3 linked regions of the Saccharomyces cerevisiae S288C genome follow. Changing the gene in region 3 together with the main gene of any one other region gives a genetic interaction. Each region holds a gene or a part of one and is shown on either strand. Other genes may lie near its edges. The genes, in order: WRS1, MTG1 and YNL034W.

Region 1 (5,472 bases), on a different chromosome or scaffold from region 3:
AAATCATCACCATACTCAAGAAACATAATGTCTAATAATTTATTCTGGACTTACTACAATAAGGATTTGAAACGATCTGTATGTGACGTTAAGGTGACACATGGTTATAATGTGCAGCGATACAATCAGTTACGTAAAAATTTTGGATTTTATAGAGCATATTCTTCACTAAGAGGTTGTAAGAGCGTTTTCAGACGTATATAGAATAGTTTTTTACTTACCTTTCATAATGTATTATCACCCTTTTACATAATACAAGTTTTAGAAGCAGATATTTTTATTTTTTTCATTTCCATTGTTCAAAAAGAGGGATGGTAAAGTATGCTAAAAGGCATACAAAACAATTAAAGGGAAACAGGTACAGCGAAGTCTTATGGGATTCATAATGTTGTTAAGATCTAGATTTTTGAAGGTTATTCATGTGAGGAAACAATTGAGCGCCTGTTCAAGATTTGCAATTCAAACACAAACGAGATGTAAGAGCACAGATGCTTCTGAAGATGAAGTGAAGCATTTCCAGGAGCTAGCCCCTACTTGGTGGGATACAGACGGATCACAAAGAATTCTACACAAAATGAATCTAACTAGGTTAGATTTTGTGCAGAGGACTGTGAGGAACCAGGTTAAAATTCAGAATCCTGAAATATTTGTCCCTGGATTTAATTACAAGGAGTTTCTACCAGAATACGTCTGCGACAATATTCAGCGGGAAATGCAGGAAAGCATAGAGACTAATCTAGATAAGAGGCCAGAAGTGAGCGTCTTGGATGTTGGATGCGGTGGTGGCATTTTGAGTGAATCGCTCGCGAGACTAAAATGGGTGAAGAATGTTCAAGGGATCGATCTGACTCGCGATTGTATCATGGTAGCAAAAGAGCATGCCAAGAAAGACCCCATGCTGGAGGGAAAGATAAATTATGAGTGCAAGGCTCTGGAGGATGTTACTGGACAATTTGATATTATCACCTGTATGGAAATGCTAGAGCACGTGGATATGCCTAGTGAAATTTTAAGGCATTGTTGGTCGAGGTTAAATCCCGAAAAAGGTATACTCTTTTTAAGTACTATAAACAGAGATCTCATCTCATGGTTTACTACAATTTTTATGGGTGAAAACGTCTTGAAGATCGTCCCAAAGGGTACTCATCATTTGAGCAAATACATAAACTCAAAGGAAATCCTTGCCTGGTTCAATGACAACTACAGTGGCCAATTTCGCTTGTTGGATCTCAAGGGGACCATGTACCTCCCATATCAAGGGTGGGTTGAGCACGATTGTTCCGATGTCGGTAATTATTTTATGGCTATTCAGAGACTGAATTGAAATCAAACGAAAAGTAGGTATCTGACTGTAAATATCTTCTTATATAAATATATATATATACACTTTTTCACGTACAGCATGAGTTCAAAAAGCAATGGCATGGTCCTGCGTTTATTAAATGATGTATCCTTTTCAAGACGCCAGTAATTTATTCAATACAGTATCTCTTTTCCGCTTATAATGGAAAAGAGAGAAAAAAGATCAAAACGTTGAAAAATTTTTTTTAGTCATTGAGGTATCAGAAATAAAACTCAATAACAAAAAATAGTCGTAGAACAACGATGAGCAACGACGAAACTGTAGAGAAAGTCACCCAACAAGTGTCGGAACTAAAAAGCACAGATGTTAAAGAGCAAGTAGTTACACCTTGGGATGTGGAAGGTGGGGTTGATGAACAAGGTAGAGCCCAAAATATTGATTACGACAAATTGATCAAACAATTCGGTACTAAGCCGGTCAACGAAGAAACCCTGAAGAGATTCAAGCAAGTGACGGGTCGTGAACCACATCATTTTTTGCGTAAGGGATTGTTTTTCAGTGAGCGTGACTTCACTAAAATATTAGACCTTTACGAACAAGGCAAACCATTTTTCCTATACACTGGTAGAGGTCCTTCGAGCGATTCTATGCACTTGGGTCATATGATCCCTTTTGTCTTCACCAAATGGTTACAGGAAGTGTTTGACGTACCATTAGTCATAGAGTTGACAGATGACGAAAAATTTTTATTCAAACACAAGTTGACCATCAATGACGTTAAGAATTTTGCCCGTGAAAATGCCAAGGATATCATTGCTGTTGGCTTTGATCCAAAGAACACCTTTATCTTTTCTGATTTGCAATACATGGGTGGTGCATTTTACGAAACTGTAGTAAGAGTTTCCAGACAAATTACAGGATCCACTGCAAAGGCTGTTTTCGGGTTTAATGACTCCGACTGTATTGGTAAGTTCCATTTTGCCTCCATTCAAATTGCTACCGCATTCCCAAGCTCATTTCCTAATGTGTTAGGCTTGCCTGATAAGACACCATGTTTGATTCCATGTGCAATTGACCAAGATCCATATTTCAGAGTTTGTAGGGATGTCGCGGATAAATTGAAGTACTCCAAACCTGCTTTGCTTCATTCCAGATTCTTTCCAGCTTTGCAAGGTTCCACGACCAAAATGTCAGCCTCTGATGATACCACTGCCATTTTCATGACCGATACACCAAAGCAAATTCAAAAGAAAATTAACAAGTACGCATTCAGCGGTGGTCAAGTGTCCGCCGACCTACATAGAGAATTAGGTGGTAATCCCGATGTCGATGTTGCATACCAATACTTGTCATTTTTCAAGGATGACGATGTTTTCTTGAAGGAATGCTATGACAAATATAAGTCCGGTGAATTACTATCAGGTGAAATGAAGAAACTGTGTATCGAGACTCTGCAAGAATTCGTTAAGGCGTTCCAGGAACGCAGAGCTCAGGTGGACGAAGAGACCTTGGACAAATTCATGGTCCCACATAAGTTGGTTTGGGGCGAAAAGGAAAGACTTGTCGCACCTAAGCCAAAAACTAAGCAAGAAAAGAAGTAAGTAGTCACGCTTATTCTGACGCTATTATATACAATGATATAGAATCCGAAATTGTAGTTTAACACTAAAAAAATAATGCAATAGAACAATAGTGTTGCGATGTCTCCTGACCTCACTATTTCTATAGATTGGTATGAAAAATTTTTTTTTCAAATATATGGGAAAAATTTTTCACGGCATATAAAAGACTACCATCTTTCTGCATCAGTGTGCCAGACCCATTCTCACACCAAGAAGCGAGGAAGCTAACAGGCCAGTACTTGCAGGTTAGGTTTTCGTGCTCAGATGAGCAGATCATGGACTGCATTGTGCTGTTGTTGCACAGTAAATTTTGTATACCATACTTTATGATGATATTCTTTACGAACTTTTAGACGTTAGACTTCTGAAGGAGATTAGACCCTCCTATGGAAGAGAAACTCGTTAAACTTATCTGAGTAGGTATGTGTATATGCGTCTCTTGTATTATACAAATGTTCTTATTTCTTGTCCTGCATTTTTCCGAGTATTGGTAAATTCATGTAAATTTTTCATCCCATAGATCGTAATTTTGAAGTAGTGGCAAAAGATTTTAACAGAGCGTAAGATATAGTGAGAGAAACTACTCGCTGAAAAGTTGAAAGTGACCCAAAAAACGGCACGAAGACCAATTATACGCACTTTCAACACAGTTCGTCGAATCTTCACAATGGGGTTCAAGAAGCTCGTATCATTCCAACCGGATTATGTCCCACAATACCATATAACTAAATATATCTCGGAACGAACTAAACTGCAACTGGTACATATAAACCACAAAACCTCCCCATTGGTTCACGGTTACTTTGCTGTTCCTACAGAATGTCTTAATGATTCAGGTGCTCCGCATACCTTGGAGCATTTGATCTTCATGGGTTCTAAATCTTACCCATACAAAGGTTTATTAGACACAGCTGGTAATCTGTCTTTGTCTAACACCAATGCTTGGACTGATACCGACCAAACTGTTTATACATTAAGCAGTGCTGGCTGGAAGGGATTCTCAAAGTTGCTACCTGCTTATCTAGATCACATCCTACATCCAACTTTAACAGACGAGGCTTGTTTAACTGAGGTTTATCACATCGACCCGGAAAATTTGGGTGATAAAGGTGTGGTATTTAGTGAAATGGAAGCCATTGAAACTCAGGGCTGGTACATTTCAGGGTTAGAAAAGCAGCGATTAATGTTTCCTGAAGGAAGTGGCTATCGGTCAGAAACTGGTGGGCTAACGAAAAATTTAAGAACCTTAACCAACGACGAAATCAGACAATTTCACAAATCTCTGTATTCTTCTGATAATCTTTGTGTCATTGTTTGTGGTAACGTACCAACAGATGAACTGTTAACCGTCATGGAAGAATGGGATAACAAATTGCCGGAGATTCCATCGAATATACCAAAGAAAAGACCATTTTTGGACAACAAGCTTTCGCACATACCGCAATCTAGAGATAAAGTTACGGAATCTACTGTAGAATTTCCTGAACTTGATGAAAGTCAGGGTGAATTACTCTTTTCTTGGATTGGTGTTCCCTACTCAGATTTTCGTAATGACCTAGCGGTTGATGTGCTATTAGATTACTTTACTGACTCTGCATTGGCAGTGTTTACAAGAGAACTGGTTGAAATTGACGATCCCATGGCAAATTCCACTGATTGTTGCACTGATTATTTCATGAGAACCATAATTGATCTTCGTATCCAAGGTGTCCCAACAGAAAAAATAGCAGCAACAAAGACCAAGGTACTGGAGATTTTGAAAACCCATACCATTGATTTATCAAGAGTTAGACAGGTAGTTGAAAATACTAAATGGGAATATTTGCTGAACTATGAAAAAAATGGCGAGAGTCGTTTTTCTAGTGCTGTGATTACCGACTATATTTATGGTAATGAAGATGGTTCTTCATTAGTGTCTTCTCTCAAGGATTTAAGTGATTTTGATGCTTTATTACAATGGTCCCAAAAGGACTGGCAATCTTTGCTGAACAGAATATTCGTAGACAACAAACCTATCATAGTTACCGCTAAACCAAGCGCTTTGATGTATGAACAACTAGAGAAAGAAAAATCGGATTTGATCAAACAAAGAGAAGCTGAATTTGATGATGAAAAGAAACTGGTTTTATTGAAAAGATTGAACAATGCAAAAAATATTAATGATAGGCCAATTCCGAAATCTCTACTACAGAAATTTGAGATTGATAATCCTTCAAAGAGTGTTGAATTTGTCAACACGAAAAGCATTGCAACTGTCGATTCGTATAAATACAATAATGTTAGTGATCCGCTGACCAAAAAAATTTTAGAAACGAGGCCAGACAATTTTCCTCTTTTCATTCACTTAAATCATTTCCCGTCTCAATTTATAGAGCTGCATTTTTTGGTCAACTCCGCATCTATTAAGGATACCTCGCTTTTACCATATTTTAATATGTTTGACGAGCTATTTTCCATGCCAATGAAAATCCTTGATGAGGAGAGTAATGTAGAAACTATGCTCTCGTTTGAGGAAGTTGTCGCCAAGTTAAAATCAGAAACTATTGA
Region 2 (5,610 bases), on a different chromosome or scaffold from region 3:
TCATGACATAATGACTCAGCCGACAAGGGTAAGGGTTGAAAGCCGGGCTTTTTCACTACTTTTCAGGTAGCGCCGCCATTTCTTCATGACTCTGACACACTCTGCCGCACCGTTAGTTACGTCTGTAATTCTGGCTGCGAAGTACCATTTTCGATATAAATAGGAGGACGCTGAGAGCTATGGACGAAGTCTATGGTATTGTTGGAGAAACCTTTAGGAACGACTAGCAAATATACACAGTACTAATATTCAGTTAATTATCACGATGACTGGAGAAGACTTTAAGATCAAGAGTGGTCTCGCCCAAATGTTAAAAGGTGGCGTTATTATGGATGTTGTTACTCCAGAGCAGGCAAAAATAGCTGAAAAATCTGGTGCATGTGCGGTAATGGCATTAGAATCCATCCCAGCAGATATGCGTAAGTCAGGAAAGGTTTGCCGCATGTCAGATCCGAAGATGATTAAGGACATCATGAACTCCGTTTCCATTCCCGTCATGGCTAAGGTAAGGATTGGCCATTTTGTTGAAGCTCAAATTATTGAGGCATTGGAAGTTGACTATATTGACGAAAGTGAAGTCTTGACTCCTGCTGATTGGACTCACCACATTGAAAAGGACAAATTCAAAGTTCCATTTGTTTGTGGCGCTAAAGACTTAGGTGAAGCTTTGAGAAGAATTAATGAAGGCGCCGCTATGATTCGTACCAAGGGTGAAGCTGGAACGGGCGATGTCTCTGAAGCCGTCAAGCATATAAGGAGAATTACAGAGGAGATAAAGGCGTGCCAACAATTGAAGAGCGAAGATGACATTGCAAAAGTTGCTGAGGAAATGAGGGTACCAGTTTCTTTGCTGAAAGATGTTTTAGAAAAAGGTAAGTTGCCAGTAGTAAATTTTGCTGCAGGTGGTGTAGCAACGCCAGCCGATGCCGCATTGTTAATGCAGTTGGGTTGTGATGGTGTGTTTGTTGGCTCAGGAATTTTTAAATCATCTAATCCTGTAAGGTTGGCCACTGCAGTAGTAGAGGCTACCACTCACTTTGACAATCCCAGCAAATTGTTGGAAGTATCTAGTGACTTAGGAGAGTTAATGGGTGGTGTATCAATCGAATCTATTAGTCATGCTTCCAATGGAGTAAGACTTTCCGAAATTGGGTGGTGATTTCTTTGAACAGGTATTTTGAGCATTATAACACTTTTTCCCCCCTCAACTTTGTATTACTCGGTACACATTGTAAAATGATCTAATTATTAGATAAGCTTATGTATGCTGGATATTATTTACTAGAATACTTGATTGGGGTTCCCTTTTAGTTTGTTAGACAATCCCTCATACGAAAGATCTCCTAACTTTTCCAATTGATCATTTACATAGTTTTTATAAGAAAACTCGTCATTATTCAACAGTACCTCAGGGTCAAATATGATACCCTTTCCATGCAACCTCCATTTGTTAGTCCACTCGATAGCCGTTGATTTTTCATTTTGGCTTTTATTCACTTGAAGCCTTCTTAAAACATCATATATATCATTTGTGGGAGAATTGGTGCTTCCAGGGTAAAGCTCTGTTCTTCCATCGTTCAAATTTTGCAAGTTCATTAGGTATAAAAGGTAATCCGCTTGAAATATTGGATCTACAAGGTTATTTTTAACACTACCACACAACGCCAGTCCTAGCATTCTATTATGATCTGAAACGCGACCGGGAACACCGATTCCTGGAGTATCTATCAAGTATATTTCATTTCTTGATTCCGTATTCCGTGAAGTTACTCTAATAACCTCGCTTGTGGCTCTAGTAACACCAGCTTCTGCACCAGTTTTGGCTACTTTCTTAAATTTTCTTCCCATATTCACTTGATTGTGAAAAATTGTCCTCAAGCTATTTATTAAAGTAGATTTTCCAACATTTGGCATGCCAGTAATCAATGCTCGGTATCCCATAGGTAGATATCCGCCATTTGTTTCTAGTTCGTAATTTTGCCATTCTAGTATTTTTAGTAGATTCCTGACGTCAGTTTTGTTTCGGCAATCCAGTAAAATAAACTTTTCTCCCAGCTCTTCATGCCAATTCTTTAACTTTCCTATATATGGCTTATTGCCGGGCATAAGATCCTTTCTAGTGTATACCACTAATTTCATCACATCGTGTTCCTTTCTTGCTATTCGATCGAAAACCACATTCCTTGTAGATAACGGGGCACGTATATCACGTAGTTCTATTATCATATTCATTTGAGGAAGCAACTTTTCAAATGTTTTAAGAGCTTTGACTTGGTGTCCCTTGAAATCAGTGAGAGGCATACTGTACTTTGGAAATTCATATCTTGGTGTGAAGGATGAAACGTTGGAAATTATTTTCCTAGTTCCTCTCACATTTATGTGCATTTCTGTATTTGATTTGGCTTTTTTGCATTCAGGTCTGAGTAATGAGCATTATCATTCGTTCTTTCTTCTCCTAATAACTAAACCAAATTGTTTCGAAAAGACAAAAATTGTGTACTTTTGACATGATGGTCCGTGTTCTTTGATCTGCGGCAAAATGAACCTACCATGTGGCAGAATTAAATATTTGATTCAAATATAAATAAGGCGAACGACGAGAGATTAAGATATTATATACAGGTAATACTATTGATTGTTTGTTCCACGGACTAGGAATTCTTCCAATGTGGAATTCTCCATTCCAGCGGTTTTTAATAACGCTTTAATGGAGTTGCATAACTCCGGAGTTACGTTAACATTTAAACGTCTGATCCATAGCAAATGACCATTATTTACGATTTTCGATATAACGTGACTATCACCGCTTTGATTGATAACATTTATAAATTCATTCCAGGGCCTTTTGTCCTGACCTTCCCCTTCCGTTGGTGTGATAGCTTCCCAGACTTGAAGTAGCTTATTCCAGTCTTTGATTTTGGCCAAGTTTTGCAATATTGAGACAATCATGCCTGAAGTCAACTTATCTCCAAATGTTTGGAAAATGTGGTCTATTGTCTCGTAGAGTGATCTCAATTTTACCCGTTCATCCGCGACCATGGAATTTAAAAGAAGGGATATTACCACTTCATCGTAAACAACTGAGCCATCGTCCTCTGTTTGTAGACCTTTAAATAGGTTCAAAGCTCTGATAATCACCCTATTTTGCTTTACTAGGTTAAAGTATGAATGACTAGAATGCTGCGTTTTCAAAACCATTTCTAAAAGAGCGATTAGATCTTCCCTTATTAACTCTTGCCCCAACGATTTTTTTAAAAGTAGATAATCCTTGAGGAAAACACGATCTGAATAAAATTGTGGGTCTGCTTTGTTTAGAAGTATCGCATATTCTAGTCGTAGTGGCCAATATGCAGCCGATTGATTTATGGTTAAAAAAGTTGAATGTTCGTCAAATAAGGACTTCCATTGAACAACATCTACTTTCCTCTCTTGTCCTACCAAATCCTTTAAAGTATTTTTAACATGCTCCAAAGTACGTATATTGTGAGTTTCAGTACCACTACTACTCTGAATTATCTTATTGGCTCCTTTGAAGTCTTCCTTTTGTAGAAAGTATCTTAAATTACTTAGCCCGTTTGGGTTGATAGTTGAATACCTTCTCCTTTGCTGGGCCAGTCTTCTTAGGCCTAAAAGAATATTATTGTTGCTTGAAATTTCATTTACCCCTGAAATAGTAGGGACATTACCTGAATCTATATTTTGGAACTTAGATTTCTCATTTTCAGGTGCATACAGCTCTTCTAAATTCAATTCATTACGCCTTCTCTGTGTCAAAATATTTACAAAAATACCATCGACACGACAATCAATCATATACCAAGCCTCACTATTTAAGTCTTTTGCAGAGCATTCAGAGCTTCTACCTAATAGTTTACTAAGGTTGGATTTTCTTGCTAATCTTCTTTTTCTTCTACTTTCTTGTCGCTCATTAAAGTTTCCTTCAACGTATGCACTACTACAGAATTCGTGCTTCAAAAACTTGTTCAACTCTAAGAAACTTTTATGACAATGTTTGGTAGATCTTGCTGTACATATGACCATGAAGTCACCCAACTTATTAACGGCTGAAACAGAGTTTGGGCTTTTCTTCCGTAAATCGAAAACCAGGAAGTCATCCAGACCAAGTTTACCAGTTAGGAGGTCTGCTATTTTTCTTAATGAGTTTGGAGAGGTTTTAGGTATCTCCAATTCTTTGTTCATCGTGTGGTGGTTATTTTTCTTACCTTCCATTAGTTCCTTTTCATTGTCAACAATCCTGAGGTACCAAGGTGTTTCCAGAGGGGTAAAAGTAGACTTTTTGGATACACGACTTTGTTCATGACTGTCATTTTTGCCCTTTGTCGAGTAATAAACTGCTGTGATGTGACTATGAAGAAAATAAGGGCCCTTTTTGAATAATATGGTAAAAGGAATATTGGCCACGCCTATCCTCTTGCCATGGAAAGGTAGTAGACAGAATTTATTCATGTCAACAAACCTCAATTTTTGAATAAGCAGGCTATTACACTTAATCTTCACTTGGTGTCGATCTTTCTTAGTAGCTTAACTTGCTTTTTTTTTTTTTGGCTGAATGGTCCTCATTGTTTCTCTTTATCGGGATGAAAAGCATAATTATCAGAAGATTGCAAGTATATTAGAAGAGAGGTTAGAAAAAGATGTCAAGAAATACTAGTAAAAACAAATACCATTACTGTGTACTAGAGTACTATTTAAGAAAGACGGATTATTTCTAAAGTTACGATAGTTCGGATGATTGTGACCCCATTTCTAATAAAACCAATATTATCAGGTATATAGAAATGCTGCAGGATCTTTTCAAGCATATATGATACCACCAAAAAAGTGTAAAATCCCATATAATATAACGTTCTTCTATTTGTTTCGTACAGTTCGCTGATTGGTATTATTACATCAGGAATATTGTATGTTCGCTTCGTTAAAGTTTGATCGCTGTTTCCTATATGCGGCGTCTAATATATAGATGATGAGAATTTGACAAATAATGAGAATTGTTAGGATCCAATTATACTTAACAGCTATAATAATAGTACACAAAATATACTAAAAGTTCTCCTCGAGGATATAGGAACCCTCAAATGGAATCCATATTTCTACATAATAGTATTACGATTATTCTTCACTCTGTTTTACATGTTTCATTATCCTATTACATTATCAATCCTTGCATTTCAGCATCCTCTAACTTCGATGACAGCTTCTCATACCTTATGCCATCATCTAACACCGTATATCATAATATACTGGTAGTGTGACTACTAGTTGATAGACGATAGTTGATTTTTGATTTTTATTCCAACAGTCCTGATGATAAGTTACTGTCAAAGACATAATTATTATCAAAATATATGGTATTAGATGGACTGGTAAAAGTACAAAACTTCAGAAATTTGTCCGTGATAGTTTAATGGTCAGAATGGGCGCTTGTCGCGTGCCAGATCGGGGTTCAATTCCCCGTCGCGGAGATTTTTTTATCAGACCAGGTGGGTGTTGTTTGATCATCACAAAGTAGAATTCAGTGTCATTTTTAAAAACGTTACTTAATTTTACGATAATATGCTGCCAGAACAAGTTTAACAATACGCTTTTGGC
Region 3 (6,335 bases):
AAAGTGTGTATAGTTCGCTTACAGAGGGCATTTTCGATGAAATATCCGCGAACCCCAAGGCGCTCACTGATCCAGCATCTAAAATCGAAATACTCCCATGGTTGTGGTGGGATAGCGAGTCCAGAGTGTACTGGTCAAAGCATATCTCTGTAAACAAATCGTGGAATGGCACTATCGAGTTTTCTCCGACGGTCATGAGTAGACATTTCTGCCGGTTGCTTCCTTCGAACGGGTACACTAGTTTCTGAGTGATATCCATTTTAGTAAAAGCTTTCCCGACACCCTTTCCGAAGATTCTGCCGACCATTTCCCCAAATCCCAGTCCTACCATTTTTTCCATATCAGCATCGCTATTCAGCTTATTTTCCTGCAGATACTTCAGAAGATAGCCCCAAGCGGTGAGTAGTAGGACAATAAAGTTCAGCGCACAAGAAGTTATTTTCAAAGGACCCTTCCACTTAAATGGTGCGCAGTTGAAAAGAAACTGCATGGTTTGAATTATGTTAGTAGCAGTATTCAAAGCGGTTTCCGCTTTGTTTTGTGGTTGCGGTGCGGCAGTCACAGTTGTGATTTCGGTGATTGTTGACGTAGTAAATACAGTTGTTACATCGACCGAGTGACAAAGTACGGTTAGGGAGGTAACCAACGCAAGGAAAAGGACGGTTGTCCTTGATTCTCTGGAGTAAAGCATGATCTCGCGCACGCTCTTGCTATTGACAGCCTCGTTGTATCAACTTGTGTTTAGGAAAGGAGGCAGAATAAAGATTAAAAATGGAAGAAAAGACTCAATGGTTCCAGCGAAACAAAGATGCTTGAAAAAAAAAATAATTCAGAAACGAGTCTCTTGTCAGGAAAGCAGTGTCAGGAAAACAGTGTCTGTTCTATAGTTTGTGTTGTGTCCCTCAAGCACTTTTGTTGTTAAAAAACCTTGCTAAAGTTTTGTACAGGTTTATACCGTTGTGCAAAAACTGCTGCTAGGATAACTGAACAGTTGTTTCTGTGGCAGATGTCGTGAATAGGCGCCTTTATTTTAAGGGTCCAGTGATTCGCGATGTGAATAAATACGCGCGCCGCTCTCGAAGGAACCTTTTGAGGCTGCTTCTGTCGATAAGAAGGCTTGGCAAAGGCCTTTGCTTTACTGCTTCTTTCCCGCCTTTTTGGTGCATTGGGTTAATTGATGAATATGCGTAAAATTTAAATCAGACTATGAAAACATATATAACAACTATTACAAGAGGGAAGTGGTAGTCTACTTGAAGAGGCGCGCCAGAAGAAAACGGTGGTAAGTACGAAGTTATGTGTAGACTAACTTGCTCGTTAAAAGTATTTCGTCAGCCGTGCCAAACAGTTCGAACTATCGGAACTTCTGACGGTTCACTGATGTACAAAAGTTGAGAGCCATTTTCGTAACCGGCTTTTTGTCCCATGCTCAGAAGGATGCATTGGTACGGTCACTTCGATATTCCTTCTCTGTGAGTGGAGCCAGAGCTTTTTGTTAGTTTCTAGTTCTGTTGCTGTGCGAGACTCACGAACAAGTAGTAGCCGGCATGGTTTAGATGGTTCTGGCACGGTAAGCTGAGGAGCGCTATTATGGTTGCGGGTAGTACAGTCATTAGAAGGTGGAATAGATTCCTTGCATATGTCTATCAGTGCCTGAAACGCCCTCTCAATGAGGGAGGTGCCAGGACTCAAAATTAAGGATTGTTCGGCGGGATGCGGTAAGCCTTCGTATACTAGGTTGTTGGACGGAAAAATCTGATACGGCTTGATCTGAATGTTAGGATCGACCTTACTGTCTAAAGTATCGAGAGTGATGTTTCCTTTTCGGTTTAAAGACTTCTTCTCGCCGACATCGAGAGAAAAATGAATGTGATCAAGAACCAGATCTATTTCTCTTTGTGTGTTTTTCCAGGGACAAAAAATGGAGTAGGGCTCAATCCTCTGGAAACCTTCGTATTTGTATTGGTATGAATAAAAACGGCACTCTGCTTCCTCCATAAGTTGGTCGTAGCTGGGCATTGTATCGAAGTTGAAGGGTCTCTTCCAGAATGGAATACTTTTATTTGAGGGATTGTAGTACCTTCTGGGCTCAGATTGTTCGTCTAAAAGCAGGTATTGAACAGCTATCATCTTGCGCTCAAATTTAAATTCGAGGGAATCGTAGTCAATGTTCTTTGTACTTCTCAGAAAGAGTGGACAGTATTTTCCCATTTTGCTTTCAAACCAGTTCTGTGGCCTGTCAAGGTACTGTTGCATGTATGAAGGAACTACAGTAGTCAACGTGTGGTTAGACTGGGAAAATTCCGCTGCGGACCCGACGCTGCAGCTTATATTTTGATTGCGGGGAGCAGGAGCGCAGGCATCTTGTTTAGATTTTTGGCTTGGATAATGTTTGTGGTGATCAGTGGAATTTATTGGGCAGTAAATTTCAGTTGGAATGATAGATTCATTCGTCTCTTTTGTTCTGGAGTCCTTGGTGCGGCGGAAATCAAAGCAAGTCACTTCTGCGTTAAGCGATGCGAAATTGCCGTCTGGAAATGACGATATGTGGGGAGAATGAGGAGGATTCCATGACGAATAAACTGATGAGGATGTGCTAACAGATGAGGTTAGTGAGGGTACCGATTCGTTGTTTTCTGACGCAGAGTCTGTTGTGGGAGATGTGGTAGCGTTATTTCTTTGCACAAGAGAAGGTGGGAGCATAGCACGGTTGTGGGAGGAGGAAGAAAGCATTACGTTGCAACTATCATTTACGGAGTGGGATAAGAGGTAGGAGGTTGTCATAGCGGTGCTTTCTTCCTGGTGCATGGCAGAAGACGTTGGCAGTAATTCGTTTATTATGGTGACATTGTCGTGATTAGAAAGGACTGTCTCTTTTACCATTGCCTCGGGTATGTTTTTTGACGCTTGCCCTGAACTTACTCCAGAGCAAGCCTCAGTAGAAGAATGACCGGAATGATTCCTCTTATACACGTTCCAGAGCGGAGCATTCTTGACATCATAAAAAAAGTTGCTGACAGGATCTTTGGACTGGTTGACGTTAAGTGGTTCCGTAGCTGGTCTGATGTTTTCTTGTACGGTATCACTGACGGCTGAGAAACCTTCAGAGGAACCGCTTTCGGGAACAGACTTGGAGGATTGCAAATTAAGCCATTGAAAGTCTAGCCCAACCTTGTTGCAAAAGGCCTTGAACTCCTGGAAAGATGTAGACATTATGTGGGCGAAAAACAAAATTAGACCAACGCTTTAGCAAATTTTTTCAACCTCAAATTGATATTTGAAGATTAGATCGGATGGTTTTTTTTCCTGTGGTGTAGGCCAAGCTTAAACAAGGTTTTAAGTGAAAGTGGAAATAATTGTGATAAACATGCGGAAAGAGTGCCAGCCTTAAATAATTCCGCATTGTTGCTATGTCGTTTTGTTTTTGTTTTTGTTTTCGTCTTATTGGTATTTGTTCATTTTACGACCACAAAGGATCCAGGGCTTCTACTTGCACAGGGAGGGTTGCTTGGTTAATACAATACAAACGTCAGAGATATTAAGATTTGTAAAGGGTGCATTCAATGAGTTTTTCCTCAATGTGCCCTAGAAAGGAAGTAGTACGAACATTTCTCAGTCGGAGTTTGCCGGAAATTCGAATGACAGTGTAAGTTGAGTTTTGTGGCACAGGGATAATGAGCGGTGGTGCTGGCACACAGTAGTGACGTTGGTTTGGTAGTGTGGAGGGACGGTGGAAAACAGATAACAGTGGTCTCTTGGCCCAGTTGGTTAAGGCACCGTGCTAATAACGCGGGGATCAGCGGTTCGATCCCGCTAGAGACCATTCTTTTTTTTTGCATTGGCAATGTGATTTATAAAAGTTTTCTTAGTCCAGATTGTAAAAATGTTAGATGGGACTACAGTGCACGTACGCAGTCATTAGGACATAGGCACTGGCTCGTCTTACTGTGTAAATAAAAACTACTTAAGTTCGAGAATCTCAAATTAACTTCTAGAGCATGGCTAGTTATTCTTTAGTTGAATCGAATTCTTTCGGGTCAGAAAATTGGTGTCTTAAGTTACAGCCTAGTTATAAACATGGTCTTTTAACTGGATTAAGTAATGGCGAAATACGTTTGCTAGACTGGAGTACTGGTAAATCAGTACAAAAGATTAAGGCGAGCGAAACTGCAATCAATGATATGAAGGTCATCGGTAGCGACTTCTCTGCTGGTCATCTAGTTAGTAGCGCCTCTATCGACGCGGTGAAAGTTTTCGATATAAGGACGAATGACCGCATTGCTCAAATTCAAAACGAGGCCAACTCCCCCTTTATTTCCTTAGATTCTCGTCATGGTCTATTGGCCTGTGGTACCGAATTGCAGGGAATTGACGCTGCTGTATACATATATGATATTCGCAAATGGGACACTCCATTGAGATCATTAATTGACTCTCACCATGATGACGTTACCTGTATTAAATTTCATCCTTCTGACGTCAATATTTTGCTCAGTGGTTCAACTGATGGTTACACGAACATTTATGACTTGAAACAAGATGAGGAGGAGGACGCTTTACACCAAGTTATTAATTATGCGTCAATACATTCCTGTGGATGGTTGTCCCCAAAGAGGATATTTACACTATCACATATGGAAACATTTGCAATTCACGAATTGAACGACAAATCTGACGAATTGAAAGAGCCACAACCCTTGGACTTTGGTGATGTAAGAGAAATATGGAACTGTGACTACGTGGTAGATATTTACCCTGGACTCATTGCAACCGGTAAAACCCAAGAAAATTGTGGAGAGTTGTGCCTCCTACCATTTAAAGATGAGAAGGTGGATACTGAAAACGGTATTGTTATCCCACACGCCCATGGAGACGAGGTCGTCAGAGATATTTTTATACCAGCACAACATAGCAACATGTTATACTCCTGTGGTGAAGATGGTTGCGTTAAAATTTGGGAAAACAAACAGGGGCCGTTAGATATTCCAGAAAATTTTTGGGATTACTCTAAAAAAATGAACGTCTTAGGAGATGACGACAGAGAAGGTTCCATTAATTTAGACGAACCTCTTATTATTCAAAAAGAATCGGTTTCCACGAGGCCAAGGAAGGAGAAACACAAGAAAGCCAAGAAACATTCCATGAAAAGTCGTTTCAAACCATACTAGTTTCATAAAGACAATACATCTAAAGAGATGCCTAACATCTGCAAGAGATTTCGGCAGAACTACTCTATAACTTAAAAAACGAAGCATACATTCCAAACAAGTTGATACTTCTAGATCATAGTTTATCTTCATAGGGCTTCTTTTGTTGGTACAATGTTATAACAACTATATTTCTGCTATATAGAGTATTAATGCATTTTTTTTTTTTATCTCCAGCATTAAACGTGCACGCTTCTATAAGGTGGAAAAAAAATACTAGAAAAGGAATAAGTGAAACACCACGTTGATGGTGAAAAAATATAAAGGGGCGAGCTGGGAATTGAACCCAGGGCCTCTCGCATGCTTTGTCTTCCTGTTTAGGCAGGAAGTCGCCCAAAGCGAGAATCATACCACTAGACCACACGCCCGATTATTTTATGGTGATTTCTGTCTCACAGGAAATTGTTATCAAAGGATAAATAGCATATTTGTCTTAAAGAAGGTTTTATAAATAGACATGCAGAATGTACTTATCAGTGGTATTGGAATGTGTTGGAATAAAAATCAACTATCATCTACTAACTAGTATTTACGTTACTAGTATATTATCATATACGGTGTTAGAAGATGACGCAAATGATGAGAAATAGTCATCTAAATTAGTGGAAGCTGAAACGCAAGGATTGATAATGTAATAGGATCAATGAATATTAACATATAAAATGATGATAATAATATTTATAGAATTGTATAGAATTGCAGATTCCCTTTTATGGATTCCTAAATCCTCGAGGAGAACTTCTAGTATATCTACATACCTAATATTATTGCCTTATAAAAAATGGAATCCCAACAATTACATCAAAATCCACATTTTTCTTCATGGTAGCGCCTATGCTTCGGTTACTTCTAAGGAAGTCCCATCAAATCAAGATCCGTTAGCCGTTTCAGCTTCCAATTTACCGGAATTTGATAGAGATTCCACTAAGGTTAATTCTCAACAAGAGACAACACCTGGGACATCAGCTGTTCCAGAGAACCATCATCATGTCTCTCCTCAACCTGCTTCAGTACCACCTCCACAGAATGGACAGTACCAACAGCACGGCATGATGACCCCAAACAAAGCTATGGCCTCTAACTGGGCACATTACCAACAACCATCTATGATGACGTGTTCACATTATC

Evidence for each region.
Region 1: mutations in YNL034W (region 3) and WRS1 together harm fitness more than expected from each alone (negative genetic interaction), as found in Saccharomyces cerevisiae (one large-scale study listed by BioGRID).
Region 2: mutations in YNL034W (region 3) and MTG1 together harm fitness more than expected from each alone (negative genetic interaction), as found in Saccharomyces cerevisiae (one large-scale study listed by BioGRID).

What each region holds. Positions count from the first base shown.
Region 1 is NC_001147.6:133,959-139,430, reverse strand, and holds WRS1 (tryptophan--tRNA ligase WRS1), read left to right. Parts: upstream 1-1,605; coding exon 1,606-2,904; downstream 2,905-5,472. Other genes in the region: HMI1 (ATP-dependent 3'-5' DNA helicase), read left to right, coding at 1-204; COQ3 (hexaprenyldihydroxybenzoate methyltransferase), read left to right, coding at 386-1,324; YOL097W-A (uncharacterized protein), read right to left, coding at 3,026-3,211; SDD3 (Sdd3p), read left to right, coding at 3,593-5,472.
Region 2 is NC_001145.3:458,143-463,752, forward strand, and holds MTG1 (putative GTPase MTG1), read right to left. Parts: upstream 2,386-5,610; coding exon 1,282-2,385; downstream 1-1,281. Other genes in the region: pyridoxine biosynthesis protein SNZ1, read left to right, coding at 266-1,159; ATP25 (Atp25p), read right to left, coding at 2,629-4,467. UniProt on the Saccharomyces cerevisiae protein: Mitochondrial GTPase involved in assembly of the large ribosomal subunit. Plays a role in expression of the mitochondrial translational machinery.
Region 3 is NC_001146.8:567,355-573,689, reverse strand, and holds YNL034W (uncharacterized protein), read right to left. Parts: upstream 3,214-6,335; coding exon 1,375-3,213; downstream 1-1,374. Other genes in the region: YNL033W (uncharacterized protein), read right to left, coding at 1-691; YNL035C (uncharacterized protein), read left to right, coding at 3,999-5,168.